4 linked regions of the Diceros bicornis minor genome follow. The protein of the gene in region 1 interacts with the protein of each later gene in a pairwise test. Links are inferred from orthologs where the notes say so. Each region holds a gene or a part of one and is shown on either strand. Other genes may lie near its edges.

Region 1 (7,680 bases):
AGGGGTTGCTTGAAGGAGGCACACTGCAGCAAATGTGGGGAGCACAAAAGCTTCTTTACATAAAAGACAGTTTGCTCAGCCTGGAATTGTATCTGTAGCTTTCACTACCCAGGACATGCAGAGCATTGCTCTTTGAATCAGAGGATTATGGAAAAGGGGAGGCGAGGGGTTAGGAATCAGGCCGACAAACACCCCAGACAGGTGGCTACCTGGTGATAACCTGGGATTTCCAGGGAGGGGAGCTTAGTGCTCATTGAGACAGACTGTTGGACAGCTCTTATGAATAATAAATAATGACGACGATCCTGGTAATAATAATGATAAGACAGAACACGGCAGTAGATGTGGGATTATTCAGCCACCATTATTCAGCTAAATATGTACCAGGCACCATATTTAGCATGTAACAAATTACACAGATTTTGCCTATAAATCTTTTTCCCCTGGGCTTTCGACCAGCCTCCCAGGTCTGCTCTCTGGAGCTACATACAACAAATTTCTTCCGCAGCGGGCTGCAAATGTTTAAAGGTAGCTTTTAAGTTCTTTACCTGTTTTTTCTCTTCTTTTTGGTGCTAAACTTAAGTTTATTTTTTGAACCTGATACAGGTATTTATATGGATCAGTATTAAATTTCATCTTGCTAGCTTTGTCTCACCCTTCCAGGCTGCTCAAATGTTTGTGAATCCGATTCTATCATTCAGTGTGTTAACCAGACCTTTTAAATGTGCTACTGAGAATGATAAGCTTCCAAGTCTTCCTTCCTATCCCATTTTCCTTTCTTCTTTTCCTCTTTCTTCTGCAGACATCCATGGAGGACTTTCTATGTAACAGACACTGTCAGGCACTGGGGCTGCAAGATCACGTAAGGCACACCTACAGACCTCAAGAAAGCATCTTGCTTAAGCAGGGAGACAGAAAAACGAATTAAAATATGGTATAGTGTGATTACGTCATGAAAGAAAGAGGAAGATTTTAACATGAGTTGGAAGAGCATTATCTGTAAGGGGAGAAAATAGGAAGCTAGGAGGATGCCACCCTCTGGCTTCTGGGGTGTGGGGCCCATGAGAGAAATGGGCAGTCTCCATGTAGATAAATGCTAGCCAGAGGGGTCCCAGGGCTGGGGTGGGGGACAGGCTTTAGCCACCATAAGGAAATGGAAAGAAAATTCTGTGTAGAGGATGAGGGTAAGGGGAGCTTATTTACGGAGGGGGCTAGGCTATTACTGTCTGGTGGTACAGCCTTTTCTCCTATCTCCTACCTGCCCGACCAGTGGGGCCCCCAACCCCCACCTGACCTCCCTAAAGAATCAAGTTCAGCTGCCTTGGCTCATGGGTCTAAGTTTTGACACGGCAAACTGGAGAAGCACCGAGCATTCTAGATTTCAATTAGAGACCAGAGAGGGACAGAATGAGAAAGGAAGGGGGTCATTTACGACCTGAAAATGCCCAATTAGTCATTGGGAAGGCTGGTAAGACCAAGAGCAAAGGGATTTTTTGTTACGACTGCTCATGGGGTTCTTCCAAGCATAATCATGTGGTCATTTAGAGGCTGTCCTCAGTGTCCAGGCCGAATGGCTCATTTGCTCACATCACAGAGCCCAGGATGGTGCCTGGAGTCTGCAAATTTCCAGGAGTTAGGAATTTTGTAGGACAGAGAATAGGTGGCCTTGGTAGACCCATTATCCCATGTTGGACCCATGTCTTATTCAAAGAGGGATATCCCCAGGCCCTCCTAAGGAAAGAAACCTCCGCAGCCAAGAGGCTACAGAGTCCTGGGAATTAGTGGGTTCTGGGCCAGTGCCAGGTGCCACCTGGGAGCTGTCCCTGAATCTCTGCTCAGCGCTTCCTAGAATCCCTGAACCCCATAGAAAGCTGGTTGCACCGACTGATTTGGTTAGGGCTGAGGAGCTCCACTTGCTGTCAGGAGGGCAGAAAATTATAACCCGGGTGAGGAGTGCTGCTAGTGCTTATTTCCTTAGACAGTGCATCAGGGAACATGGTCAGGTGTAACTCCTGGGGCACTGAGTGCATGGCCATGGGCGGGTGCAAACCACACTCATATAGCTGAGCTCCAAAAGCGTGGCTTGAAGCTGTGACCCAACATAAAGCTGAAGTTTATCACAACTACTGGTGAAAATAGGCCTGGGGATCTTGGACGGATTTGGAGCTGAGAGGCAGGCTCAGGACTTGGGCTGTGCTGCCTGAGCATCCCTTTCTTCTAAAAGGCAAAGGCACCAGTCTAAAACGGCATGATGCCCGGCTCCACATTTTGGAGTTTGGGGGGATTAAATATGAAAAACTAAATAAACTCTGTTATTAAACCAGCACCTCCTATTTTTGGTGGGACAGGAAGAATGTAGGCTTATGCTTCTAGACTAAGAGACTTGGAGCTACACAACCCGGAAGTGAAGAGGCCAACTAAACCCCTAAGATCTAGGAGGAGACCAGCAGGTGCTGGGTTGAGGACTCCTGGCTGAGGACTGCGAAGGGTGAGGAATTTGCTACTGAGGCGCTACCTAACAGGACACATCAGCCCCGACTACAGCAGCAGAGATGGGAGGGCAAGGCTTCACCCTGTCTCAAGGTGCAAGAGAAGCCTCAAGCTTTGGTAGATAGTTGTATGTGTTCCTTCCAATAGCAGACTGGAGAGAAACTTGGTTCTAGCACAGGCGAGCTTATTTAAAACTCGACCTGTAGGGCTGACGTCTTTCCTATTAATCCTCGATGTGCCTAGAAGGAGGCCCTGTTAACAGTGTTACATTATTTAACATTAAGCGTCAACTTAGAAAAAGGCAGGGGCTCTGGGCCAGTCATGGACTAGCTCTAGTCAGGTTGGGCATTTCCAGTTCCTCAGAGCTGGGGCCGAGGGCTCTGTCTGCTGAGCAGTCCTCCTGGCCCTTTTTCCGTCTTCTCTCGGTTTTCTACTCCAAGATATTCACAGTCCTGCTTTATTTTCTGGAGAATGCAGTATACATTTCCAGCAATTCTTCCAGAGGGAGATTTCTTTTTGGGGTCCCAGCCTCACTCTCAAATTTTCTTATTTTAAAGCAAGCGTGTTCATTCTTTAAAACCCAACTCAAAGTCACCTCCTCTGTGAAGACGTGCACGCTCTTCTGGAAGGTCTATCCTCTTTTTCCCACAGCTCTCTCATGCCCTTCTCTTACTGCACTGTTCACATTTGTTTGCATGCCTGCCTCACCCATGAGACGGCAGCCTCACACAACGCCTGGCATGTGCAGGATTTCCACAGAAGTTTGTGGACTGAATGGATGATCCATGGGAAGAAAGGGCACATAGGAGACTGACCTCACATCAAGTTTTCGGTCTGGACTTTTCAGGCCCCCATCCATCTAACTTTCTCTCCTGCTGTGGAGGGACAACCAAGAGATGAGTTGTGAGTGGGCTCAGAAGGCAAAGTTGAAGCTGATGAAGAGAATGGGGTGAGCCATAGCGCCTTTGGGTGTAGCTCAGTTGCTGCCAGTAGATGCTTGGAAACCGTGGCTGGAGCAAGGGGAGAAGTCTCATTTCTGTAAAGGATCCAGGGTGTTCTAGAGGGCTCTGCAAACGCGAGGTCGTCTTGTGGCCGTATGGTCCTCAGTAGCTGTTTATAACCTCTCTAACTAACTGGCAGGCTTCTTGGCTGAAGGCAGCTGCCTTCCCTCTTGGGGGAACAACTGATGGCCTACTTGGGCAAGTTCCATGGCGCCATGCCCACGCTGATCCAGATCCACATTAAAAAACGCCAGGGGGCAACACTGAAGCCAAAAAGTTCTGTTGACCTCCCTTAGACCAGTCAGTGCAGTTTTTAGCAGTTTGGACACCCCAGTGCACTCATTAAAACACAATTCCCTAAGGCCTTTTTTATAAATGGAATTTCAAATGTATTCAGATTTGAACTTTCAAGGAGGGTGACCTTGAGCAGCCACTCAGCACAGAACATCTGTGGAGGACCAGCCACTGGCCCCTCCTCACCTTCTCCCTGGAAGTTTAGGACCACTGCTTCTCTCTCATTTTAAGGTCGGGGGGGACAGGGGTGGGTGGGATGACAGGGGAAACTGATTTGCTTTGGCTCACAGGAACTGGTTGTGCACAGGGATGGAATTTTGGATGCGGTGAATTGTTTTTCCTGCCTAGTTGACTGGACTATGCAGGCTGAAAAGGAAGAAATTACACCGTCCACACCCATAATGTTTCCTTAAACTCAGGGCCAGGGTTCTAAGGACCCAGTCCTCCTTTATTTGCAGAAGTGTCAGGGCCCAACACCGCCCTTCACAAAGCGTAGAAGCGCGGTCACAGCAGGGAACAGGAGGGCCAAAGGAGGGAGGGGCAGAGAATGCGGAGAGAGACAAAGAATTCCGAGGTGACGCTTCTTTGTTCCCCAGACTCTGGACGCAGCTCCCCCTCCCTCCTGCCTGGCGGGGGCCGGAGGAGGAGGAGCGGGTCTCCCGGAGCACGGGCGGCTAAGGTCGGCAGCCCTTACCCGCGCCGACGGCGGCGCAGCTCCAGCGCCGTCTCCCAGGCTGCACTCGTGTGTTTCAGCTCTCAGTTGCCATGGGAACGGCGCCCCTCTCCCTCCCCCGCGCCCTTCTAAGGCGTACCGGGGTTCCAAGCCTCTGGACCTGCCCCCGGCTTCCCTTTCCCAGCCCCCGTCGTCGCGGCGGAAATGCTGGGCCAAGCGTGCGTGGCTGGCCGGAAAGTTTTCATTATTTGCGTCATGGCCACGTGCATCAGGTGTTCCCCCGAATGGGGACGGTGGACGGCAGACCGCTAGTACTGGGTGTCGGCTGGCGCCGGCCATGCTGCTAATCCACACCGTGCTCCGGGGCAGAGGAGGCGCGGCAAAGACTGGTGGAGTTTTATTTGATTTTATTATTTATTTAATGGTATGTAAATTTTATAGCTTTATTTTTCTGTTTCCAGAATCATGCCGCGTCAGCTTTCCCCAATCCCGGGCCCCAGCGCGAGCTTGTGAGGGGTTGCTGAGATGGAGACAGGGCCTGCGACTCCCTAGAGCTGAGACTCTCTAACTCGGTCAGGTTGTGGGCTGCAGGGTGTGCTGGCCGGGAGAAGGGCGGGTATTCCCCTGAGGCACCCTGAGTGGACTCACTTGGGCTGGTTCCCAGGACAAAGACCCCTAAGCAGCCTGGAGGACTGTCGGGGGGCGGGGGCAAGGAGCTGCCCTGAGGGGACAGTCCACGTGCAGAGGCTTGATCTGGGGTCAAGGGTTGGAGGAAGCCGATGAAGTTCACATGCCGTGGCCACTCTGAGTGGACTTGTTGAGGGTTGCAGAGTGGCCCAGGTCGGGTGAGGCGGCTGGGTTGCAATCCATTTCTGTGTAAGCATTTCTGCTCAGTTGTCAGAGTTCAGAAGAAAAGGACTTGGATCTTTGAGGTGCCAGTGATTTGCTGTGATTTCTTCTCACATTCTAAATAGCTTATTCACTTTTGCACCTAAATTTGTATTTGTAATATTTTATTCTTTTTCTCGAAGAGAGTCCAAATTGTATAAGCTCCAGGTCTCCACAAAACCTGAAGAGTCGTGAGTACCCTATGCACACCAGCAGTGTGTGTTACTGGGCTTCTTCATATTGTCTCTCCGTGGCCTGTGCCAGGCTCTTGGGAAGGGGGTGGGAATGACAGAAAAGGGGACTCCAGTGGGAGAGGCATGTGACGCAGAGAACCTCTGTGGTTCTTGGTGGTTCCACCTCTGCTTGGTGGTCCTGTAGGAGATGAGCAAATGGAAGGTGACCAGATAACTATTTCTGCCTCTCTCCCTTCCTACTCCAACGTGGAGAAAGTTGGAGGAAAACAGAAGAGAGGCCAAGTCCATATGAGTATCACAGGGCGACAGTAGGAGCCTCAATGAGTTGGGGAGGGGTGTAGCAGAAGCAGAAAGACAGAGGATGCTACCTGGTGTCCGAAGAGCTCTTGGGATTGTTGGTTCCCAAGGATTTCTTGAAGCACAAAGGAAGAATTTGAGGCTAGGTTGTTACAACCATTTTTGCTGGGACTGGTCAAAGACTACTTCTGGGATCTACACACCTCTCAATTATACTCAGGGACACTGCCAAGGGCTGGCTTGGGGGGACTTTTGTAGCCCCCATCATCTCCAGCAACCTCACCTGAATCTAACTAAAAAGTGTACTTGGTTTGCAAACACAGCTTCAAGATAAGTTTCTTAGCCTGCTGTTCCCCACAGTCCCTGGCCGGTAAGGCTCTGTCACACAAATTTCAGTGTCCATTCTTCAGCCTGGTGACAGGCATCTTGGATGGTGTCATGGTAAGGCCTTCCACAAGATGGTGCTCATAGGTTTTGTTTTTATTATTTCTTGCTGTTGATTGATTCATCCCTTTGTCAGTATTTTATTGAATGCCTATTATGTGCTAGCATTGTTCTAGGAGGTTCTGGGGATATAGATTGAAGAAGACAAAGTCCCTTGTTTCAAAGAATTTAACAAGGCTGTGATTTTTACACTTTCAGAGGCAAAACTCAACTGTGATGTAAGTTTCCCTATTTATGTTGCTGATAGATACTTTTGATAGTTGTGCTACATTTCTGACAGTTGCACACTTTTTTTCCCTCTGGACTGGGATGGCCTGGAGGAACTATAGACACATTTATTATTTGCATGGGGAAAGGATTAACTTATATCTGTCTGTAGAAGCCACTCTCTGAGATCCACCCTTTTGTCAGGAAAACACAACATCTTAACTTGAATAATTCCAAATTGTTGCTAAGCATCAGCTTATCATTTTGAAGTCGCAGCTTGGGATTCATCTGCCCATTTGAGTGAATTCACAGCTCTTTTTAAAGAAAAATTCTAGTAGGTCTTTCAGGTATCCCAGTGACCCGCCTTCAAGTGAGAATGAGATGGGCCTTGATCTTGGTGAGAATTTATCAGTCTCTTTTTTTGCTTTTCATAGCAAAATGTCAACCTTGCCACCTAACCTTCTACCCCAGAGAATAAGCACATTCAAAGAGCTCACTCTTGCCAAAGGCAAATCTGAAATCACAGTTGAGAGAGAGAGACAGAGGTCTGTGTGAGCTGATCCAGATTCCTCCAGCTTTGGTAAGCTCCATCCTTGTTCTAAGTTAGATTCCTGAGGGCAACATCTTTTAGGACCTTTGCTACACCAACTTGGCTGCTTCCAGAAGTACCTTCACTTAGCTATGATTGAAGAGTACGCCCTTGATTTTTATTGCCGATTGATATAAAAATGGTCATAAAACAAATGTTTCTGTACTTTTGGCAAAAATAATGGTTGAAGCCCTTGTTCACTTTACCATTCCACGTCCTTTCTGTAAGCATTCACAAGAAACCCAGACCACCTGCTTGACTTGACATTTCTGCTAGGGTATCCCTAGGCGTATTCTGTTTAACATGGCCAACATCAAACTCCTGATCTTCTCCCACGATCTGCTCCTCCCTCAGTCTTGGTCGTTTCAGTAAACTCCACTGCTCAGCCAAGCATCTCAGAACCATCTGGACTGCTCTCTTTCTCTCTCACCTCGCATGTAACCTGTTCTCAGATCCTGTTGCCTCTGCCTTTAACACACATCCAGAATCTGGTCATTTCTCACCACCTTCTCTTGTCTGGAGACTTTGACAGGCTTCTTAATTGATCTCTCTACTTATGTGCTTTGTTCCCCTACAACTATGCTCAACACAGCATCCAGAATG
Region 2 (7,297 bases), on another chromosome or scaffold:
CAGGTGACATATCAAGGCTCCCATTGAACTACAGTCTATAACTGCTGCCAGGACACTTTGGATTTCTTGGGTCTAGGGACCAGCAGATGAAAAGAGGAGTTACCATATGTCAGGGCTAAGTAACCCTAATCAGCAGGAGGAGGCAGGCTGCTTTTACACAATGGGGGCAGAGAGGAATTCATGTGGAACCCAAGTGATCTACTTGGGTGCTTCCTGGAATTCCCATGCTCCACTGTAACTGTGAATGTACATTTGTAGCAACCTTAGCCAGAGAAAGATATGACTATCAAGGGTTTAGACCCCTCAAGAAGGAAGGTTTGGGTCACAACACCAGATAAGTCACTAAGACATAATGACATGATAGCTGAGGGTAAGAGGAAATTAGAATGGATAGTAAAGGAGGGAGAGGATGGGTGCCAGTTACAGCCCTGGGATCAAATGCAGTGACAGTGGCTATAGTTTGTCCCACTAACCTCCTTCTTCTATATTTCCCTTCAGGAACAGAAGCCCATATGAAGCTTGAAGGAATTGTCCCTTGAACCTATCTGGAGAAGTAGATTTGTGTGGCTTTAGGGCAGCTATGAAAATGCACTATTCAGATCTCCTGCTGGGGGGATCATAACTGACCAATGGCCCTAACTGCCACACTGGTGAATCTGCTCTGCCTCCCATGGGCTGCTCTTAAAAGATGACTGAGTGCAGCAGAGATACTAAGTCAGGCCCATTTCCAAGAGATGCAAGACTCCTCCAACAGCCACCTTGGGCTCAAAGACTCTCCATCAGCCTGGTTGAAACTTTTTTAGAACTGTGCCTATCCAACGTGTTTTCGTTCCCTCTGTCTTTCACAGAGGTCAGACCTGCTTCACAGTCTGACAGCTCTTCCTATCTCTTCTTCTCCCCCTCTCTTTCCCCCTCACAGGCATTTCGCCCAATACGTGTCTTACAAATCGAATCCCATCTTAATGTCTGCTTCGCCAAGAACCTAAACTAACACAGACATGTCCACAAAACAGATTAAAACTGTAATCCATGGTTTCAAAAAAAGCTAAGAAAATAATCCAAGACATGAAAGAACAATAAGCATCAAAATTAGAAAAAAACTCAGAAAAAAAGGTGACACATTCAGGAGAAGTTACAAATAAAAGTAAAATCCTTTAGAAGATAAAGACTGGGGGCCAGCCTGGTGGCGCAGCGGTTAAGTGCGCACGCTCGCTGCAGCGGCCCAGGGTTCACAGGTTCAGATCCCGGGCATGCACCAACACACCGCTTGTCAAGCCATGCGGTGGCGGCATCCCATATAAAGTGGAGGAAGATGGGCATGGATGTTAGCCCAGGGCCAGTCTTCCTCAGCAAAAAAAAAAGAGGAAGATTGGCATTGGATGTTAGCTTAGGGCTGGTCTTCCTCACAAAAAAAAAAAAAGAAGATAAAGACCAACCTAGAAAATACACCAACACAAACACAACATAATGCCATAAGAGAATAGAAGATTTAAAAAAAGGAAAATAACAAAAAGAAATGAAGCAGGAGATAAAAAGGATACTATTTGGGATCTTTGATGGCAGAATTTCTTTAATTTCCCAAGAAACTTATTGCAGTTGCTTTACACCTTCATTGTTGAGAGTTTCTCTGAATCTAATTATTAGTTATTTCCCTTTTTCATGAACTCAGTGGAGAAAACCAGTTGGTCATCATCCATCTCCAACCAGATTATCCAAATCTTCCTCAGAGAATCTTTTTTATTTTCCCTTACTTAATTTGGGGGTGGGGGTTATTTCTCTTAATATTGTCTATTTTCTCCACATTTATGTCTGTTTCTTTTAACGTAGAGCCACTAATTGGAAATACTACCCAAGTCAAGGTATGACCAATGCTAACATGGCAGAATTCACGGATTAGGTGTGAAATGGGCTCATCTATGCATTTGGGGAATTGTGACCTGGTCAAACGATTAGACTCAGATCCTCAAACTAGTCTATTCTGCTGACCTTTTCCAAGCATGAAAACAAAGAGGGGTCATTTTATCAACATAATCAACAAATATTGATTAAGCATTTTCAATGCACCAAGAATTGTGTTCACTGTTTTAGATGTCTTGAGGACATCTTTGATCTATGAGGAAGATGGTGTGGACGTTTTTGTTTTCTTTTGTTTTTATGAACAATACTTTGGATTAAGAACAAAGACACTTAAAATTAGGTCTAAGTCAGCTTTTGAGATGTTGTATTACCAAAGGAAGAGAACAATCCCAATTAGGCCAGTGCTAGAATGAAGGAGGCCACAGCTATGTTGGCAGCTTGATGGGAAAAACAAGACGGACATTCAGAGGCACCACCCAAGTTCTCCTGCTCCTTACTCCTCAGTCTCCACTGCTCAGTCTTACTTGGCCCCAAATATCCCCACTTTCAAGTCTGTCTTGGAAATAAAACATAAATTTATAATAAAAATTAAAATGTGGGGCCAGCCCCGAGGCTTAGCGGTTAAGTGAGCGCGCTCCGCTGCTGGCGGCCCAGGTTTGGATCCCAGGTGCACACCGACGCACCGCTTCTCTGGCCATGCTGAGGCTGCGTCCCACATACAGCAACTAGAAGGATGTGCAGCTATGACATACAACTATCTACTGGGGCTTTGGGGGAAAAAAATAAATAAATAAAATAAATAAATAAATAAAAATGTGATTATGTCCCTTCAAGTTCCCAAAATACATGATCACATATATGATAACAATATCATAAATATATTGAGCATTTACTTTGGGCCAGACATTAGCTCATGAAATCATCATTCCAATAACCCTATGAGGTAGCAACTATTATTATCTTGCTGCTCTAGAATTCAAATTCAAACTGCCAGATTCCAGGTGCCAAGCATCTTATCCCTATGTTCTGCTACCTCCCTATGACAAAAAATAACATAGCCAATCTTATGCTACAGCTAACCTACAGTGACAGGGATATTTTATTTTGCTAATACTTGAGCCAGCAATTTAAAGTAAAAGCAAAGTGTCACAGACATGAGGCTAAGTGTAGCACTGTGAATCAAAGCGTGGGGAAACAAAATGAAGAAGGTGAACCTGAAAGGGAGGAGAGCAGTGAGTAGGGAATTTACAACAGTTGTCCTAAGCACCCCTCAAGTCTCCTTCCAGAGTATTCAGATTATAAAGCAAAGACCTCCTTTATTAGAATCAAAGCTTAATAACCTAAATGCAAACCAGACATTTAACTCTCCAAATGATACAGTTCCCCATATTCTATCTATAATTATCATATCTGGACTCTTTCAGTTACAGCAAAGGCAACAACACTTCTATCCTTCCAGCCAACAGATTTCTATCTCAAAAGGTTAAGATATACCAGAGTTGACTAATGTGTTTGCTATAGGAATCAACAGGTTACAACACAGTGAGTTTGTTTTAATGCTACACGGTAACTGAACACTTCAGAACATTTAGCATATTGTTCTTAGTTAACTTGCTAACTTGCATTCCAAGGAGCAACAATGTGAGGTAGGACTTATGTTTAAAAGTGAAGCTCAGACTCAGACTGCCTAGGTTTAAACCTAGTTGTCACCTAACAAGCTTTGTGATCTTGGGCGTGATATTTAACCACCTGAGGACTCACTTTTCTCAGCTGCAAAATGGGGTTAACAACAGAATCTACCTCATAGGATTGTGGGGACTAAATGGAGTAATATTGCGTAAAAGTGCGTGCCACAGTATCTGGCACATAATGCTCTAAGTGTCAGCTATTTATCAAAGAGGGCCGGTTTAATATGAAGACAAACTAACATGTAAAAAACATTAACTCTATTAACTATAAATCTCTGTTATCTTCGGTCACCTAAATCTGGTTTTTCATATCTCATCTTTCCGTTACTCCATTCTACTCTTTACACAAAGGGAAAAAAAACTCCAAGGCTTCAGAGTTCTCCGTAGTGAAAGCAAGGAGCTCAGGTAATTATTACACCCAGAAATAGTCTTTGCCTGTCTAAGGCGCCTTTCTAGAGACTCCAGGAAAGGGCCCTTCCCCACCCCGCCCCGCCCCGCCCCCTCGATGTCTGGACCCGGAGACCAGTCCCAACGCAGCCGCGACGCCACCTCGCTTGCGACTAGTTACGTGGGAACCGAGGTCCAAGTCCGATCCATGTACAGTTACTCTGCAAGGTGATTTACATATCTATTGTTTATTGGCTACCAGCAAGCACTGGCTCTCTTCATTGGCTAATACTGCCCGGTGCCGCTGTTCCGCAGGGCATGGTCCCCGCGAGGGTCACAGGCACCTACATTTCCGTTTCCGGGTCGCCTCGGGAGCCATGGCGACCGCGTTGGAACTGAAGTATCTGCAGACATTAGGCAGATGGCGCCGCGGCCTTGGAGTACTTCCCCAGTCTCGCGTGAGTGCCTGCTTTTCCCTGTTCTCGGAGGGACGCTGGATCTCTGGGAGGCGCTCTCGGCAGCTCCTCTCTAAGCGAACGCCCAGAACCTTGCCTTCTGCCCCTCGCAGTCAGCTTTCTTTTCCCGGGCTGCAGGCTCTCGCCGCCCTCGTGCCCGGCGTATCCCAGGTGGATAACAAGTCCGATTTTCTGGGGAAGAGGCCCCATCGCCGGCACCCTGGCATCCTGCAGCTGCCGCGCGTGCGGCTGCCGCAAGCCCTGGCTGACGCCGCGCAGTTACTGCTGCTCGGTGAGTGACGGTGGAAAGGGAGGCTCGAGAAGAGGCGGAGACTGGGGCTGCCCGCGAGTGATGCCGCTTTTCATCTTTCGCCCGTAGAGAGGTCTATGCCCAATGTGGAGAAGCAGGTGCAAGCACTGACCAATTATCTCTGGAGCCGGCATTTACCTATAGAGCCAGAGGAGTTGCAAAGACGGGCTGTACATCTTGAGAAAAAATTCTTGGAAAACCCAGGTAGGGCTTAAGAATAAAGAGGCCAAATTGAAATATCGGTGAGAAGTGAAGAGCAAGAAATAATATTACCGTCTCTCAAATAGATACTGCGTTTTCTTGCTTGACTTTCTGGCCAGAGCAGTTATTACAATGACGTCTTATCAAGAGAAGAAAGATTATTTCAGAGATTGCCCTTGGGGCTTTGGTAAAGGTCAGCGAGTGCTTCAGTATCCTGTTGAAATCTAGATGTTTATTTGTGTCCTCCAAGTCCGCTGGATTAGGACCGTCTAAGTTTTTATTCAAGTGAAATAAAGTCCCTGTTTGGCTCCCTGTCCAGTACTGGAACCCTCTTCAGGGATAGGAGAATACTAAGTATAATTTGTCAAGTTATTTTCATGATTGTGAGCTCCTGCATATTACAGACCTACTTTTTCTTCGTCTTGTATTCCCTGCACTTCCCACAGTGCCTGGTTCATAGTAGGTGCTCAGTAGATAAAATAGTACTGAACTGAACACGGTCATGAGGCTTAAGATTTTCAAGCCCCTTTCCTCCCTATAGGAACATTGGAGACATCACAATCTTAAGTGTGGGAGAAAGGAGGAAATCCACAATATATTGTCCTTATCCAATCCTTTGATTCTTTACCATACTTCCCTTGAATAAAGAACAAAACCTGTGGGATAGGGTTGATGGAGTTGAATAAACTGCTGGTAGAGGTAAAATACTATCTGATGCAATCTGTTGGTGGTGGTAGTCATCGTTATTCTTACCTGAACTTTTTCTCTAGGTTTGGCTTCTCTCCTAAGCTTTGAGGCTTTCCCTGGTGGGAGTTGGGGAGGAATGGGCAGGCAGTATATTCAGATACTGGATCTGAGCCCTGTTCTTCCTAGGTCCTCACTTCCAGTCCTTGTTCTCACCCCAGACTCATCTCAGACAGAGGAGAAACTTTGTGGAGCAGTGCTGCATGCCCTGCGCAGAACTACCTACCACTGGCGAGAACTGAGGTAAGGGGGACTAGAAGGGCTGTAGAAGAAAGAAAAGTTTGACTTCAGAAGGAGAGTTGGGGAAGTACAGTTACACAGTTTAGTGTTTGAAAAAGCTGTCTGGTTTGTAAGGCTCCCCAAGAATCTTCTCTGTTGAGGAGTGAAAGTGTTGAATTGGAAGAGCCCTTTCCAAAGATTTCGTTTCCTAAAAGTCTAGAAGATAGCTATGGGATAGATAGTTATTTTCCAGTGGGTATGACTCTCTGATTTTCCTGGCAGCTACAATGAGGGACTGAGCCTGGTGTACATGGCAGCAAGACTGGATGGTGGCTTTGCAGCAGTCTCCAGGGCATTCCATGAGGTGAAAGTCCCTCAACTTCAACCTGAACCCTTTTACCATCAGTTCCGTGATTCATAAAGTAGTCTCCTGGGATAGGATTCTTGGGACATTGCATGTCCATTTCTTTCTTTAAAGAGGCCCTCTTTATCCTCTGAAAAGATTTGTGACCCAAGAAAGATTTAGAATCACTCTTTTAGGAGCTTCCTATCCTATAAAGTATTTACATTGAATCTCAAAACACGTTCACGTCGCATCTCCTCTATCGTAGTCCCCTAATTCATATTCACCAAGGCTCTAAATAAGTGTCTATTTACCCTAATGTGGGGTGTTATATATTTCTTCAGATCCGGGCCCGAATTCCAGAGTTCCAACCACAAACCTTGATGGACTTTGGTTCGGGTACTGGTTCTGTCACCTGGTGAGTATCTTTCTCTGTCAATTCTAGCTCTGGAGAGCCATGCCTACACCACTTCAGTATCAAGACACTGTGGAACCAGAGGGAGAATAGGAAAGTTGGGAACTAGAATGTTTCTTGCCTCATGTTAGGCAAGGCGTAAGATTATGGATTAGGGCCAGAGCTTAAAAGAAATGTCAAGTAAAAAAGACGCATGTTTAGAAAGATAAAAAAGGAAAAGAATTTAGTCTAGGGTGTAGGTTTTACATATCATCAAAATTTTTTGCCTACAAGTAGTTTTTTCAGTCTGCCTTTTTTTTTTTAAGGAGTTATAAACGAAAATTGTTAGTTTTTCCAACTATTTTAACATAACACTCTGTTTCAGCAGGGGTGGGGTTGGAGGTGGAGTGGTCTCTTGTAGGGATGACTCATTGTCATGAGAATTGGCGATTTATATTTTGCCATCTTAGGGCTGCTCATAGTACTTGGGGCCAGAGCCTACGTGAATATATGTGTGTGGACAGCTCAGCTGCCATGTTGGATTTGGCAGAAAAGCTACTGAAAGGTGAGGACAAGGTATAAGAAGGGCTTTTCCAAAGTTGAAGGAGCTAAGAAAGCAAAGGAGTCCTAGAAAGGGTGTTTTATTGGGGAGTAGAGGAGAGGGCTAAAAGTTAAAGATGAATCTGATCTCCTTCCAAC
Region 3 (7,284 bases), on another chromosome or scaffold:
AAGCTGTGTGACCTGAGCCCCTTGGCCTCTGAACCTCAATTTTCTCATCCATAAAACGGGGATGAATAACATGACCTACTTCCAGAGAAGGCTGGAGAATTATAAGAGCGCTAACATACATAACACAGTGGTTCAGTGCCTGGCACATATAAACGCCCAAATGTTCACTGTGTTTATTATTATTAGGAGGGAACAAAAGGATGGCAGATCCTTGCAACCTAGGAGAAAACATCTCCAAAAGGCTCGGATTCCCTTGTTTCCTTGGAGAAGCAGACAAACAAGCCCTCACGTATGGACTGCCCTCTGCATCACAGCTCTGTGCCCACCTCTGATCCTGCTGTATCCTCACAGCAAGCCTCCCAGGCAACATGACTCTGCTCATGGAGGCTCTGAGGGTTAAGTGACCTGCCCAGGCTCAACAAGGAGTCAGAAGTGATCTGAGACACGTCCCGTCACACCTGGCTGCTTCCATCCGTGCTACTGACATACAGAAGCAGCAGCCAGTTCTCAAGGAACTTTTCCAGCCTGGCTGGGTGGCCCTGTGCACCACGGAAAGCAAGGTCCAGGTCGCTCTGGATAGCTGTTGTCAGACGCATGCTCCAAAGCAGTGGCTCTTAATCGAGGGTGTCTCCTTTCAAAACACACATGCCTGGTCCCCTACCACCAGCACCAATACTCAGTAGGAGACAGGCAGGGCCAAGAATCCATCTGTATTGTTGACAACCACCACCACCACCACCAAAAAAAACCTCCCCAGGGGCTCTCAGGGCATGACTGAGGTTGAAAGTGGTTGCTCTAAAACGGTGGTTTTCAACTCTCACTCCAGCTCCCGACCGTATGCGGGAGTGGCTTGCTATGGACTGATTCTCATGAGAGACACGGAGCAGACGGAAAAGACCCCGGAGGAGGTCCCCCTCTGGCTGAGAAACACTATTCCAAAGGATAAGGCAGCAGCCCCGGGAGGAGACAGCAAACTGAGCAAACACTCCAGCTCTGGCAGGTGGTGACTCTGTTGATGGAAACCCTGCCTGCTTATGAGCGGTCACGACATTCCTCACACTATCAAAAATTAGCATGGGGGCCTTCGTTTATTGCCATGGGAAGACCATCCTGATGTACTGAAGAAAAAAAAAAAAGAACCACACATTTCTGAAGAGTTTATATAACCTGATCTAATTTTAGTTAAAAAAAACCCACCAAGATATCTCCTACCTCAATCAATCTAACAATCCAGCTACAGAAAATAATCCAGAAGGATTAACAACAAAATGCTTAAGAGTTGTCACGGTGCGTGAGATGGGAGGTGGTGATAATAGGTGATTGTTTTTTACTCACGTTGTTCCAGTATTAATTGTATTTTCCAATAATAAGCATGAGTTACTTTTACTTTTAATGATTTTTAATTCTATAAAACGCTAACACGTTCTCCTGTGAAAACAACATCACAGAAGGTTAGGCTCCCTGTGTCCACTCCCTAACCGCAGGACCCTCCCAGAGGTAATGAATCACCCTTGTCAGGTGGATGTATACCTTCCCAGCCTTTTTCTCTGCATTTACATACATACTGATGCTTAGTCTGGGTCACTCCTCATCATCCTATATGTGCTGTTTTGCACCTTGTTTTTTCACTCAATGGCAGGCTCTGATGATCTGTCCACAACAGCTCACACAGATCTAGTGCATCACTTTATGCTTTTAAATTTAGAAAAATTAATAAACAAGTGAAGCTAATTTTATGGGCACAGGAGAGAAAACACCCTCAGAGTGGCTGACCTCTGGCTCTCTCCAGGACAGCCTGGAATGACTACTCAGCCACCCTCCTTCCCCCTCTCTTCAGGGTCCCGGCTCTTCCTACATCTGGTTCCTCCTCCCTGCACTTACCCAGAAAGCTCGTGTCCAGCAGCTGAAGCCTGGCCATATCCCAGGCCTGCTTGATGCCAATGTTTGGCAAGTTGAGGCCCACTTTCCCATTGCTGTGGGGTTGAAGCCGGAGGAACGTTCTCAAGTTCAAGGCCACAGCCAGTGCTACCTGCAGAATAAAGGCCAAAAGCAATTAGCCTGAGGGTGGGTGGCAAGGAGCATGGCTCCTGTCTTGGGAAAAAGGGGGCAATGTGAATGTGTTGAGAAGAAAGCAAATACTAGCACAAAGGCCACTCCCACCCACGCCCTTGGCAGACACTGCTGACCAACCTTGGCATGTTCGCCCACTACGCCTGGGCACAGCCACCACCACCAATGAGAAGTTAACATCTACTTATGTTTGCCCTCCCCATGCAAAACTTCAGTGGTTCTCACACCAGGAACGGCTTCCCCATAATGACCATCTTTACAAAGGTAAATATAAGTTAAGAACACAAAGAACGACAAAGTGGAGGAGCGGAAAAAGCAGGAGCTTTGGGTTAAATGGTTCAGACAGACTTAGGTTCACTCCTAGCTCTACCTGGCTGTATGGGCCCTTAGTCAAGTTACCAATCCTCTCCTAAGCCAGAGCACCCACATCTGTAAAACAGGATAATTAAAGCCCAACCTCAGAGGGCAGCTGTAAGAGTTAAATGAGATAATGCATGCTTCAGACTCCTTTGCTGGATCCTACTCACCTTCCTGACTTCTAAACGTTGGAGTGTTCAGAGCCCAGGCCTTGAACCTCTTTTCTTTTCCACCAAAGCTCACTTCCTAGGTGATCCCCTTCCACTGGCAGGGCTTTACCCATCATCATTTGCTATCTCCCTGAGTGGGCCAGAGAAGCCTTCAGCGGGCGTAAGACCTGTCTTTTCTCTGCCTGGCTGGGGAGAAATTGACCTCCTCTCTGATCTACTCCCAGACTGTGCCTCGAGGCTTCCTTCCAGCCTCTTTCACGATTAGTGTCAGGGAGAAGTGGTGTCAATCCTCAAAGGCTCTGGGGGCCTTTTACCTTGCCATGGACCACCGCATGCTCTCCATGCAGGATGACTTTCCCTGGAGCAGACACCAGCAGGACTTCTGACAACATGGCTCCTGGGAATCCTGAAAGGGAAAGCCAGAGAGAGGATGGAAGGTCCCCAGATGGTAGAGATCTTAGGGCATGCCTAGTTCAAGCTCAGCATTATAACAAAAAAGGCAGCACCATTCAGCACTTGCTACGTCCCACAAAGGCAGTGCGGGGCAGCAGTCAACTAGACGCGTGAGAAAGATCCGGGTTCAAACCCCAGCTCTTCTGCTCTCCAGGGATGTCATCTTAGCTAACTCACTTAAATGCTCTGAACCTCAGTTTCCTCATGTTATACGGGGATGATAACTGTACTTACCTCAATGGGTTTTGAGAAGGTTAAATTAACTAATGCAAGGGAAACATTTAGCAGTGCCTGGTACATGGTAATCACTTCATTACTGATAGCTACTTATTACTGGCTCTGCTCTTTGTTCCAGCTTTTACTATTAAAGGTAGACATTTAAACAAAATCATGGACCAGAAAGAACTCTTTCCTGGTCATTTACGCTGTTTCCAAAGTGTCACAATTATAAACAGGCTGCAGAAAACAGCTGTCGCATCTCTTTTTGCACACTTAAGCGAGGATCTCTACAAGACAGAGTCCCAGAAAGGGACTTGCAGGGTCTACGGGTGTGCGAATTTTAGATTTTTATAAATACCGCAAAATTACCTTCCATTTAAGGCTGTACGTGCCTTACCTCAACACGGTAATAAGACCTGAACTGCACTATGAACTAAGTACTATCGCGATCCCCGTTTCTTAGAAGGGAGGAAACCCACTGCTTGTCCGAAACTCAGTCATGTCTGTCAGATTCCAAGTCCCCGAACCCTCAGGACGGATTCTCAGTTAGGGAAACTGAGGCAGAGACGCCGGGAGCCCGCCCCGGGGTCATCCTGGGTCTCGGCCTCGGACCTCGCCCCCCCGGCCCCGCGCCCCTGGCCTCACCTGCCGCCGCTGCCCCTCCGCCCCGAGCCCGAGCCGCTCCGGGACTCCATCCCCCGGCTCCCGAGCCACGGGGGGAGTGGGCCGCTGCCTTCCGCCCAGCCAATCAGAGCGCGCGACCCGGGAGTCTCTTTACCAATTGGCTTGAGTATTGGCCAATAGGTGTTGCTAACCAAGTCGTCACGGGTGTCCCCGCCCAGCCCCTTCAGTAAACCAATGGGAAACGAGTCCCTGGGAGTGTCCCGCCCTGGTGCGAGAGCCACGGGCCAATGGAAAATGGCGGCTGAGCGGTGGCGCGGCCGACGGGAGGTGGAGTCACCCCGCGACCTGGACGGGAGCCTGGTGGGGTCAGCCCCCGACCCGCGGCCTGGCGCATGGCTGTGTGGGGCCTGGGAGGCCGCCTGGGCCTGCGCGGGTGTCTCGGGGCCAGCGGACTACGTCCCGGTTTCCAGAGCCGCGGCCTCCAGGGCGTGGATGACGGGGACAGGTGAGTGCCTGGCTGGGAGGGTAACTCCGACGCCTGCCGTGAATTGTGGTGTCGTCGCCATGGTTACGTCACACCGCTGTGAGGTCACTGCAGCAACCTCCAGGTGACGTCCTCTCTTAGTCGTGACGTCACCATGGCAACGTGGGCGCCGTGGAAGCCAGAGACCAAGATTTCTTTGCACAAGACAAGTCGAACGAGGCCCAGCTGTCATCCATCAGTGCAGGGCATGTTCCGTGTGGGCCAGGAGGGCCATCTCGCCTGGCCTCGCCATCAGGGGTGCCTCAATTCAGATTTTGACCTATCTCCAAAGCAGTGTATACCCTAAGACACAGAGATACACCCACACGATCTAAAGATGGCTGTCATCACGTTCCTTGAAACTTGCACCCCATTCCCGGACCTCAGAACCTGTGGAGTACCATGGATTAATATACTTCATAGATCCAATAATTTAACCTTTGAATAACTTTGTCGTGCACATTTTAATTTTTTTTCTTTTAATTAGCTTTTTAATTGAGGTCACATTGGTTTATAACATTATGTGAACTTCAGGTGTACGTCGTTATATTTTGACTTCTGTGTAGGCTACATCGTGTTTACCACCCAAGGTCTAGTTGCCATCTGTCACTGTACACATGTGCCCTTTTACCCTCCCCCTCATCCCTTTTTCTCTGATAACCACCCGTCTATTCTCTGTGTCTGTGTGTATGTTTGTTGTTTTTATCTTCCACATATGAGTGAAATCATATGGTATTTGGCTTTCTCTATCTGACTGACTTCGCTTAGCATAATAATGCCCTCACGTTCCATATATGTTATCACAAATGGAAAGATTTCCTTTTTTTTTTTTTTTTTATAGCTGAGTAGTAGTCCATTGTGTATATACTCCACATCTTCTGTATCCATTCATCCACTGACGGGCAGTTAGGTTGCTTCCAAGTCTTGGCTATTGTGAATAATGCTGCAATGAACATAGGGGTGCATATATCTTTTCATATTTGTGTTTTCATATTCTCTGGATAAATACCCAGAAGTGGAATAGCTTTATCATATGGTAGTTCCATTTTTAATTTGTTGAGAAATCTCCATGCTATTTTCCATTGTGGCTGCACCAGTTTGCATTCCAACCAGTAGTGTACGGGGTTCCCTTCTCTCCACATCCTCTCCAACACTTGTTATTTCTTGTCTTGTTAACAATAGCCATTCTGGCGGGCGTGAGGTTACATCTCATTGTCGTTGATGTGCATTTCCCTAGTAATTAGTGATGTTGAACATCTTCTCGTGTGCCTGTTGGCCATCTGTATATCTTCTTCAGAAAAATGTTCAGATCCTCTGCCCATTTTTTGTTCAGGTTGTTTGTTTTTTTGTTGTTGAGTTGTATGAGTTCTTTATATATTTTGGATATTAACCCCTTATTGGCTATATGATTTGCAAGTATCTCCTCCCATTTATTGGGTTGTCTTTTCGTTTTGTTGATGGTTTCCTTTGCTGTGCAGAAGCTTTTTAGTCTGATGTAGTCCCATTTGTTTATTTTTTCTTTTGTTTCCTTTGCCTGAGTAGACGTGGTATTCAAAAAGATACTGCTGGGCCAGCCAGTAGCTTAGTGGTTAAGTTCGTATGCTCTGCTTTGGCAGCCTGGGGTTCGCAGGTTCAAATCCCGGGTGCAAACTGATACACTGCTCATCAAGCCATGCTGTGGCGGCATCCCACATACAAAATAGAGGAAGATGGGCACAGATGTTAGCTCAGGGCCAATCTTCCTCAGCAAAAAAGAGGAAGATTGGCAACAGATGTTAGCTCAGGGCCAATCCTCCTCACCAAAAAAAAAAAAAAAAAAAGACACTGGTAAGACTGAGGTCAAAGAGTGTACTCCCTATGTTTTCTTCTAGGAGTTTTATGGTTTCAGATCTTATATTCAAGTTTTTAATCCATTTTGAGTTAATTTTTGTGTGTGGTGTAAGATAAAGTTCTACTTTCATTCTTTTGCGTGTGGCTGCCCAGTTTTTCCCAGCACTATTTACTGAAGAGACTTTCCTTTCTCCATTATATGTTCTTGGCTCCCCTGTCAAAAATTAGCTGTCCGCAGAGTCACATTTTAATTTTGAGGTCTGTATTAAAGGTGTTATGTTGCTATTTGAAAATGCCAGGTTTTGAACGCTGTTTTGGCAATTTTTTATTTCTGAGTATATTTGGAGGCTCCAAGAAAGGAAGAGGGCCAAGTTTCTTTCCCTCAAAGAGGCCTGACTTGGTGGAGTAGAGGGTAAAGAGTTTGGGTAGGGTAGAGCTAAGAATTTGGGGCCTGAAGTAAGATGGTCTTGGGCATGAATCCCAGCCCTACTGCTTCCTCCCTGGGTGACCTAGGAAGATGAGTCCCATCCTGTGAGCTACAGTTTCTTCAGCAGTAAAATGAACGTCCTATGTAGTGCCTACCTTTGGGGCTGTGGGAAGAGTCTAGGGATAATTCTGGGAGATAATGCCAGTAATGCACACAGTGTAGGGACTGTGGAAAGTGACCGATAAATTCTTTCAGCACATAGTTATTGAGCAGTGCACTGCATTAGCTACTGTGCAGATACGGATGTGGGCAAGGCACAGCTTGGGAGCCCACAAAGGGCTTAAAACTGAGAGGGATGGAGGAGATGTCAACAGAGATCCAAGCAGGGGGGGGTAAGTGTCGCCCGTGAGGCTACGAGCAGCAAGCCGGGACCACTGAAGGAGGGGCCCCCATATGTGAGCCATCCCCACTCACCACCTCTTGATGTCTCTTTCTCATTAGGCCACAGCCTTCCTCGAAGACACCCAACCTCCCCAAGATTTACACCAAAACAGGAGACAAAGGTAGGGTGGGGACAGATGAAAAATGCAAAGAAAGACGTGGCCAACTTC
Region 4 (7,024 bases), on another chromosome or scaffold:
TGCGGGAGGGTGCTGCAGCCTGTCTTCCTCTGTCCCAGGCAGGGAAGTCAGGCTTTGAGAAACCAGAAGAGAGGCTGCTTTTAATGAGATGCCTCATCCGCAGCTCAGAGGGTTTCGCTTTCCCCTTCATCTTGAATACTTAATCCTAATAGTCCTTGAGTATATTTGATGTTAAATATATCATTTTGCTCAGACTCACCATCCCTCAGGACTGCAAACTTGATCTCTCCCCTGCCACTGAAGCCGGAGCCATACCCTGAGGGTCTGAGGGAGGCTTTGGCACTGCTGCCACCGGCACATTTAGTGCCAGCCCCTCCCCCCAGCCTGAGGTGGGGGCCAGCCAGCGTAGCAAGCAGTGGGCCTGACAGACTGGCAAGGGGTAGCCTCTTGCTGCAGACACCTCTGTGCTACCCGGAGGCATTCACTCAACAAGGGCTGTTTCTCCTTTCTTCCAGGGTCCGGCCCTGACCCATAAACCAGGACTCGACTAGCTGGGACCACTGTCCCACTCTCTTGTCCACGTGTTGTGCTTGGGACTGTATCCCAACACCAGCTCCCCTTAGCCTCCAAGGTACCCAATTAGCAGCCATACAGCTGGCATCCCTTGAGAAGTCAGGGGCCCTGTGCCCCAATCCAGGGACTGCAGCAGGCGTGGGGTGCTGAGCAATGGGTTGCAGAAGCAGCTAGCATACGTCAGCAGAGGACTGGTGCTGGTGTGAAGGGCTGCTTGAGCCCCCAGGCGGCTCTCTCTGTACTCCCAGTTGTGAGCATTGGGCTCCCACACTGATCTGGAGAAGGACCTCCATGGAGGCCGTCTGGTTTACAGAGCCACCCAGCAAGCCCTGGAGGATTTGGGTGACTTGAGCTCCGAGCCAGGAAGGGGCCTGCTGGGTTGACAAAGCCAGACATGAGCCTCTTATACAGCGGCCTCCCTCTCAGCTCCTGGGTAATTGCTAGGCAGGCAGGTAAGTCCTGGGCCCACGCTCACCCCCACCCAAGGTGCCTCCAGGTCTGGGGGCAGGCCCACAACCCCAGGGTGGAATCCTCAGATCCCCTGGGGCTGGGGGAGGCAGTTTGCACCCAACACATTCCACAGGTGATGAGCATGTACTCACACTTCAACACTGCCAAGAGTGCTCCCAAATGCCCTCGAAATGCCTCTGGGAACAGCAGAGGGAGGCCAGCTGATCAGCCCCTAAGGTTACAGTGAGGGATGGGGGTGCGACTGGCTGCTTTACAAAGTTTGGGCAGGTCCTAGCAGCTTGTGGCTGCACCTGGCAGGAAAGTCCTGAGGAAGGGTTCCTGCGTTGGGTTGGGGGGGTGGACTCAGTGCCCGAGGGCCTGGGCAGACCAGATATTCCAGAACTCTTCAGAGGAGGCTGTCAGATGTGCCTCAGCCCGAGGGCCCTGCTTCTAACACAGTGCAGCTGTCTCCAAAGCGGGGTTACAAGCTGCCCTCACAGGTGATGCTCAGAGAGGTATTCAGAGTGACAAGGGCCCCTTCCCTGTGGCCACCACAGGCGACAGGACGGAGTCAACCTACAGACTTTGCAGTACGATCAAGGTGCCTGCTGGCCAAGTGCAGACGCCCTGCCCTGCCCCTTCCTCACACAAAAGCAGCCCATGCACAGGAATTTGCAACCAGGTAGAGCAGAAAAGGTGCAGCAGGCAAACTTTTCCTCTTTTGGTTTCTGGGAGCCCCGGACAGGCCTTCTAGGAAGCTGCAGTTATAATTTGTCATGCCTGCGGAGGCCTAGGCGAAATCTGCACCCCAGAAAACAAGTCTCCCACACCCCCCTGATGAAGGCCAACCCACCCCCACACAACAGCCTGAGACCGTTGTGGGTGTAGGCTGACCAACTGTCCCAGTCTGCCCTGGGACTGAGGGATTTCCCAGGATGCAGGCTTTTCAGTGCTAAAATCGGGCAGTCCTGGGCAAACCAGACAGTCCATGACCATAGTGGGAGGTGGTAGAGAGAGACAAGGGACTAGTGGGGACAGAGAGAAAGGCGAGGCAGCCAGACCCTTCCCTGCAGACCAGCAGCTGCCTCCCAACACCAAATTTCCCAGCCTCCTGCCTCAGGGCTCATCTCCTAGGCACTAAGGAACTGCACCAGCCCCTGGGGATGGTCCATGGGTCAGCAGGGCTGTGAGTTCTCCTGAAACACTGGCATTTAGAATGGGAAGGGGGTGAGATAGACCCAGGGGTGGGTCCAGATTTTGTGAGAGCCAAACTTACTTATGCAATTGGGAGGGTGGGGGGAGCTCTTTAAGAAAAGGAATATACGATCACTAATTAATACAAAATTACCACTGAAGGACTCAGAAGCTTAAACTTCATTAGCTTCCAGGTAAATCTGCCCCTGATATTTTGGATATATGGCCCATCCACCAACCCTAGCCAGCGGGGCACCTCCCTCAGGCTAGGCTGGGGAAACTGATGGCAGGCGCCCTCCCCAGCCCCCGCCCCGGGGAGTGAAGTAGTGTCACCCATCTGGCAGCTATGAAGTTCCAGATCGGAGGGACCCCGGGACCGTGCTGGTTTGACTGCACCCTCACTCCCAGCTTATCTGGGCATCCCCCTGGGGAAGCCGTTCCGCAGTCGGGTGCGGAAAGGGGGACGTGCAGACACCCAGGGAGATGGGGAGCAGTGGGCACTGCGGGGAAGCCGGGCCGCGGGTCGGAGAGGCGCTCCCTGTGCCTGCGAGGCGGCAAGAGCCAGTGAGAAAGTTCCCGGCCGGAGCGTGCGGGGCTGGCGGGCCCGGGGTGACCCGTGTGACTTCCCAATCCCGCTGAGGCACCTCGGGGGCTGAGTCTGGCACCCCCGACACCCACACCCGGCGCACACCCAGCGCCCGCTACCGGGAAGGCGGCCGGGCCGGCGGAGGGGGCGCTGCCGCCGCGAGCGGGGTGGCCTCGGCAGGGCCCGCCCCGCGCCCCGCGCCCCGCGCCCCACGCGTCCCCGGCACCTACCGTCCTCCTGGTCCAACACCATGGTCCCCCGGCGGCTCCAGCCCGGCCCGGGCGGAGGACGCGGAGGGGCGCGCGGCTCCGACTCCGCCGCCGCCCGCCTGCGCTGCTCGCGCCGGCCCCGCGCGGGCTCCGCGCCCCGAGAGCGGCGGCGGCGGACGGGGGCGGGCGGACGGGCGCCGGGAGCTCAGCCTCGCGGGCGGGGAGCGCGGGAGGGAGCGCGGGCGCGAGCCGGGACCGGGATCGCCGGAGCCGCCGCCCGGGCCGGGCTGGAGCCGGAGCCGCCGCGCGCCCGTTCTCTCCGCGCGGGCCGCGCTCGCCGCCGCCGAATGGAGCCTGCGTTTCCCAGGGCCCCTCTGATTCCCCTGTTAATTAAATCAATTCATTATGCTCAGATCTGATTAGCGGCCCTTCCCCCCTTTGAATCAATTATTCAATACACAAACATAATTGCTTGGGCCAGAGGTGCCCGCCATTAGCTTATTTAACTCCAAGGACACTAATTACCCGCAGGGCACGGGAACTTTTCTCATTAATTCTGACAAAACACAAAAGCACAGCCAGAGTGTGTGCGTGTGAGGGACTCGGGGTGTGTGTGTGTGTGTGTGTGTGTGCGTGTCCGCATGCCAGGATGAGGGCTGTGTGGGGTGGTGAGGCACGTTGTGAGCTTAAGAGGAGACTGGGGGCGGCGGAATGCGTGCGATTGCGGGTGGGAGTGTGGGGGCGTGTAGTTTTGAGTGTGTGGCCCTGCTGCTGTGAGTGTGGGACTCCGTGCGTGTGATTGTGAGGGACTGCATGAGTGCATCGGGCTGGGTGTGGCTCCGAGTCTGGGGACTGTGGGCCGGGGTTTGAGACCCAGCACCGGAATGTATGAGATTGTGCGAGGGCTTCTGTGGGTGACTCTGTGAATGTGACTCCCTGGCTACTGTGGCAGGCGACCCCATTTCTTTTTTCATAATTGCCCTGCCATTGTCCGCTGCACGCTCAAACCCAGGGGGAAAGTGCAGACCACAGAAGAGAAACCGGGGAGGGTCAGGAGGGGTGGGTGACGCTGGAGCCAGGCTGGGGCCCAGTGTCCCCCTCCCCCCATCACCTGTTTGTGCACTGGCTGGGCTATGCTCCCCCCGCAGCAGCCCCCCCCACCACGAGTTAAAAACCTCAGTTCCCATTGCCCCCTTCCTTGGCCCCTCCCGAAACTGCCCCCCTCCTGCTTTTATCCCTTTTATCCCAAAGCCCTCCGCCGCTCCTGCCCCTCCATTTCCACATGTGCCTGAGACGCAGGCACACCCCCTCCCAACTCCACCCACTCTACCCTAGTTCTTTGCCTCCTGTCTGCAAGAATGAACGGAGGGTGTGCCTATGGTTGACCAACTTCTCCACATTTTACCTCCCAGGAAATCTATTGAGAGAGCGCGAGTGAGAGAGCCCGCAAAGGCAGGGACACAGAGGGTAATTGATTCCCCCAAATTAGGTTTCTGCTTTCTAAAGACCGGTATTGTTCCTGTTCTCAATGTGCACAGAGGTATTGAAGATTTCCTTTTTGTTTCCTAGGGCAATGAATGAGCTTAATCCATTTGGCTTTATAAATCAGGAAACTAATATTCGCTCCTTCCATAGCAGCTTTTTATAAAATTTAATTGGTGGGGGAGACACGATTTGTCACCCTTATGCTGTCCCCAAGCCCCCACTTATCAAAACACATTCTGATTGAGGGGTGGAGAGAAGTCTGGGGGGGCTCATCCTGATTCCTCCTGCTCTCTTCCATCCTTGCGCATAGACCCACACAGTATCTGGAAAAGTTTGTGAAATGACTGAATGAATTATATTCAATTCAGTGAAGAAAAGGAGGGTACTCAGAGGTGCTCTTCAGAATGATCTTTCAAATCTGCTGCTCGCAATCTCCCACTGAGATTGCACTGAGCAACCCATGCCTGGGGTTGGCAAATCCTCCTCACCATCCTGCACAAGCCACTAGAGTCATCTTCCCGGTGCTAAGATCTGACCCTGCTACTCTCCTGCTCAAAAATCTTCCATGGCTCCCCATTGTCCATAAAACAAAGCCTAACTACTTATCCTTTCATTTCAGGCGCTTCAAGAGATCCAGGGAAGTCTTTGCGACCACCACTATCCCTCACTTCAATTCAATTGATATCTATTGATCTCCATCAACAATCTTACACTCTGGCCCCTCTGGACTGCTTTGCTGTAATTGAATGCATCCCACAGGTTCCTGCTCCAACGACTCTTCTTGTGGCATCCCTCTGCTTAGAAAGCCCTTGTCCCTCTCAAAGTCCTCTGAGGAAATAGCTCCCCTATGTTCCTTTAAGTGGGTGTTTCTGTGTGAAGGCTGGGTTGCTGAGTGCTGTGTGGATTACTCCATTGAAGCCTGAGGGACAAGATCAGCCCCTGAGGGCAGGATTTCAGCTCTCCCCTGGAGCGGGAGGACAGATGTGGTATCAAGAGTCTCACTGGGTCACTGGAGAGAATGGGAGCTACAGAGGCAGGGGAGGGATTTGGATTCAAGAATGGAGGCTCAGAAGGAGACCCTTGGGCACCATCTTTTTCCCCAGGATCTCAGATGGCATGGGACCAGAACCCAGGTGCATGCTTCCTCTGGAGGCCCAGTATTTGGATCTCCATGTTGTTTAGTTCTCTGTGTAGCTAGGCACGCCACTGCCTAGATTGGCGCCTAGATTGGTGCCTAGATTGGTTCCCTGCACTAGAGCATCTGGCCAAGGGAGCAAGAGGGGCTGAAATACTGCTCTCTCTCTGCTCTCCAAGCCATGTACCTGGCATGGGCTGCACCCATCCAGAGAGGGCACCTTTTGCTAATTTGCACAAAGGCACCATGTAGGTATCTCTGCTCGGCCAGAGTTCACACTCAGGGAGGCCAGCCTGAGGGGCAAGCACCCAGCCTTCCCTGCCCCCGCCCGCACTTGCACCAAGGGCCTGTGTGAGCTGTTAGAAGACCAGCTTCCTGGTTTTCATAGAGAAAGAGAAAATTCAGAGAGCTTAACCATCAGGGAGTGGTCAGGGATACTGAAACAGGTGCTCAGCCCCATGTCTGAATTTTTATGGGTCCCAAGCACTGGTGAAAGACATGGAACTCAGTCCACAGCTGAGATTCAGATGTGGACAGACCCGCCATACGGACTGAAGTCCACAACGAGGACCACACTGGAGAGACAGTGAGGTTCCTGAGAGGAGAGCCTCATGGGGGGACTAGACTGAGCCACCAGGCCTGGAGTTTGCAGGGTCACTAGTTCCAGGTATGGCACAAAGCCAGGCCTGACCCACTCCTAACCAGTGCTTCAAGAAGAGAGGGCAGTGGTGCAAATGAGGAACCGGGTCACTAAGGGCCCTACAGCTTTGCTATGGGAGCCCCCTGTGAAAGAGCTGGTCACTAGAAGCAAAACATATGTCCCTGCTGGCCGAGAAAGACAAGAGCAGCTAAGGTCAGCAGCTTGGTGGCATTGGCAGCAGCACATGCGTGGAATGAATGACAAGATGGCCAGAGTGTCGGGCAGCAGCTCTGATAATATGGGAGGCATCTACACCCCTAGCCCATCAACCTCATCCCCCAACCCTGGGATGATCAGAGACAAAATGACTTATCCAGAACACAAAATCTAGCAATGTTCAGGAGGTACTTGGGTCACATGTGTAAGCACTCCTAGAAGGTCTCACAACTTTTTGGAGAGGAGGATCCTGAAGAGGAGAATCAGAGTATCAGAATTGGGGGCTAATTACTGTAAATGTATGAGATCTGGTACTCGGCATTTGTATGGCCTTTATGTTCCAACCTGTCTTAGCTACACAACGAACATGAAGGGAAAGGCTGTGTGAGCAAGAAGGGGCCAGAACAATAACAGGGGAACAGCCCCCACCACCAGCTTTGCCCCATGGCAGTAGAGCTCAGCAGGAGACGCAAAGCGCACCACATCAACATCAGGCAGACCAAAGACCTTGCTCCCATCCTCCCTCCCCACCTGGATGGCCTCCTGAAGCCACAATTGCTCTCCCATGCTCCATCTCTCTTCTCCCCAACCATCTG

Evidence for each region.
Region 2: the proteins of CBY2 (region 1) and METTL17 interact in binary tests that used the Homo sapiens proteins (3 or more experiments, as listed by UniProt). The link is inferred for Diceros bicornis minor from reciprocal best matches to the Homo sapiens genes CBY2 and METTL17.
Region 3: the proteins of CBY2 (region 1) and MMAB interact in binary tests that used the Homo sapiens proteins (3 or more experiments, as listed by UniProt). The two-hybrid records come from large-scale screens. The link is inferred for Diceros bicornis minor from reciprocal best matches to the Homo sapiens genes CBY2 and MMAB.
Region 4: the proteins of CBY2 (region 1) and LMO1 interact in binary tests that used the Homo sapiens proteins (3 or more experiments, as listed by UniProt). The two-hybrid records come from large-scale screens. The link is inferred for Diceros bicornis minor from reciprocal best matches to the Homo sapiens genes CBY2 and LMO1.

The regions. Positions count from the first base shown.
Region 1 is NC_080748.1:31,138,753-31,146,432, reverse strand, and holds the start of CBY2 (protein chibby homolog 2), read left to right. Parts: upstream 1-4,662; 5' UTR 4,663-4,795; coding exon 4,796-4,882; intron 4,883-7,680.
Region 2 is NC_080744.1:28,280,920-28,288,216, reverse strand, and holds the start of METTL17 (methyltransferase-like protein 17, mitochondrial), read left to right. Parts: upstream 1-4,283; 5' UTR 4,284-4,309; coding exon 4,310-4,390; intron 4,391-4,525; coding exon 4,526-4,679; intron 4,680-4,766; coding exon 4,767-4,901; intron 4,902-5,803; coding exon 5,804-5,885; intron 5,886-6,143; coding exon 6,144-6,225; intron 6,226-6,548; coding exon 6,549-6,622; intron 6,623-7,068; coding exon 7,069-7,163; intron 7,164-7,297. UniProt on the Homo sapiens protein: Mitochondrial ribosome (mitoribosome) assembly factor. Binds at the interface of the head and body domains of the mitochondrial small ribosomal subunit (mt-SSU), occluding the mRNA channel and preventing compaction of the head domain towards the body.
Region 3 is NC_080774.1:17,971,899-17,979,182, forward strand, and holds the start of MMAB (corrinoid adenosyltransferase MMAB), read left to right. Parts: upstream 1-4,266; 5' UTR 4,267-4,285; coding exon 4,286-4,398; intron 4,399-7,174; coding exon 7,175-7,236; intron 7,237-7,284. Other genes in the region: MVK (mevalonate kinase), read right to left, coding at 1,882-2,029, 2,912-2,989. UniProt on the Homo sapiens protein: Converts cob(I)alamin to adenosylcobalamin (adenosylcob(III)alamin), a coenzyme for methylmalonyl-CoA mutase, therefore participates in the final step of the vitamin B12 conversion.
Region 4 is NC_080746.1:67,144,737-67,151,760, forward strand, and holds the start of LMO1 (rhombotin-1), read right to left. Parts: upstream 3,021-7,024; 5' UTR 2,996-3,020; coding exon 2,974-2,995; intron 1-2,973. UniProt on the Homo sapiens protein: May be involved in gene regulation within neural lineage cells potentially by direct DNA binding or by binding to other transcription factors.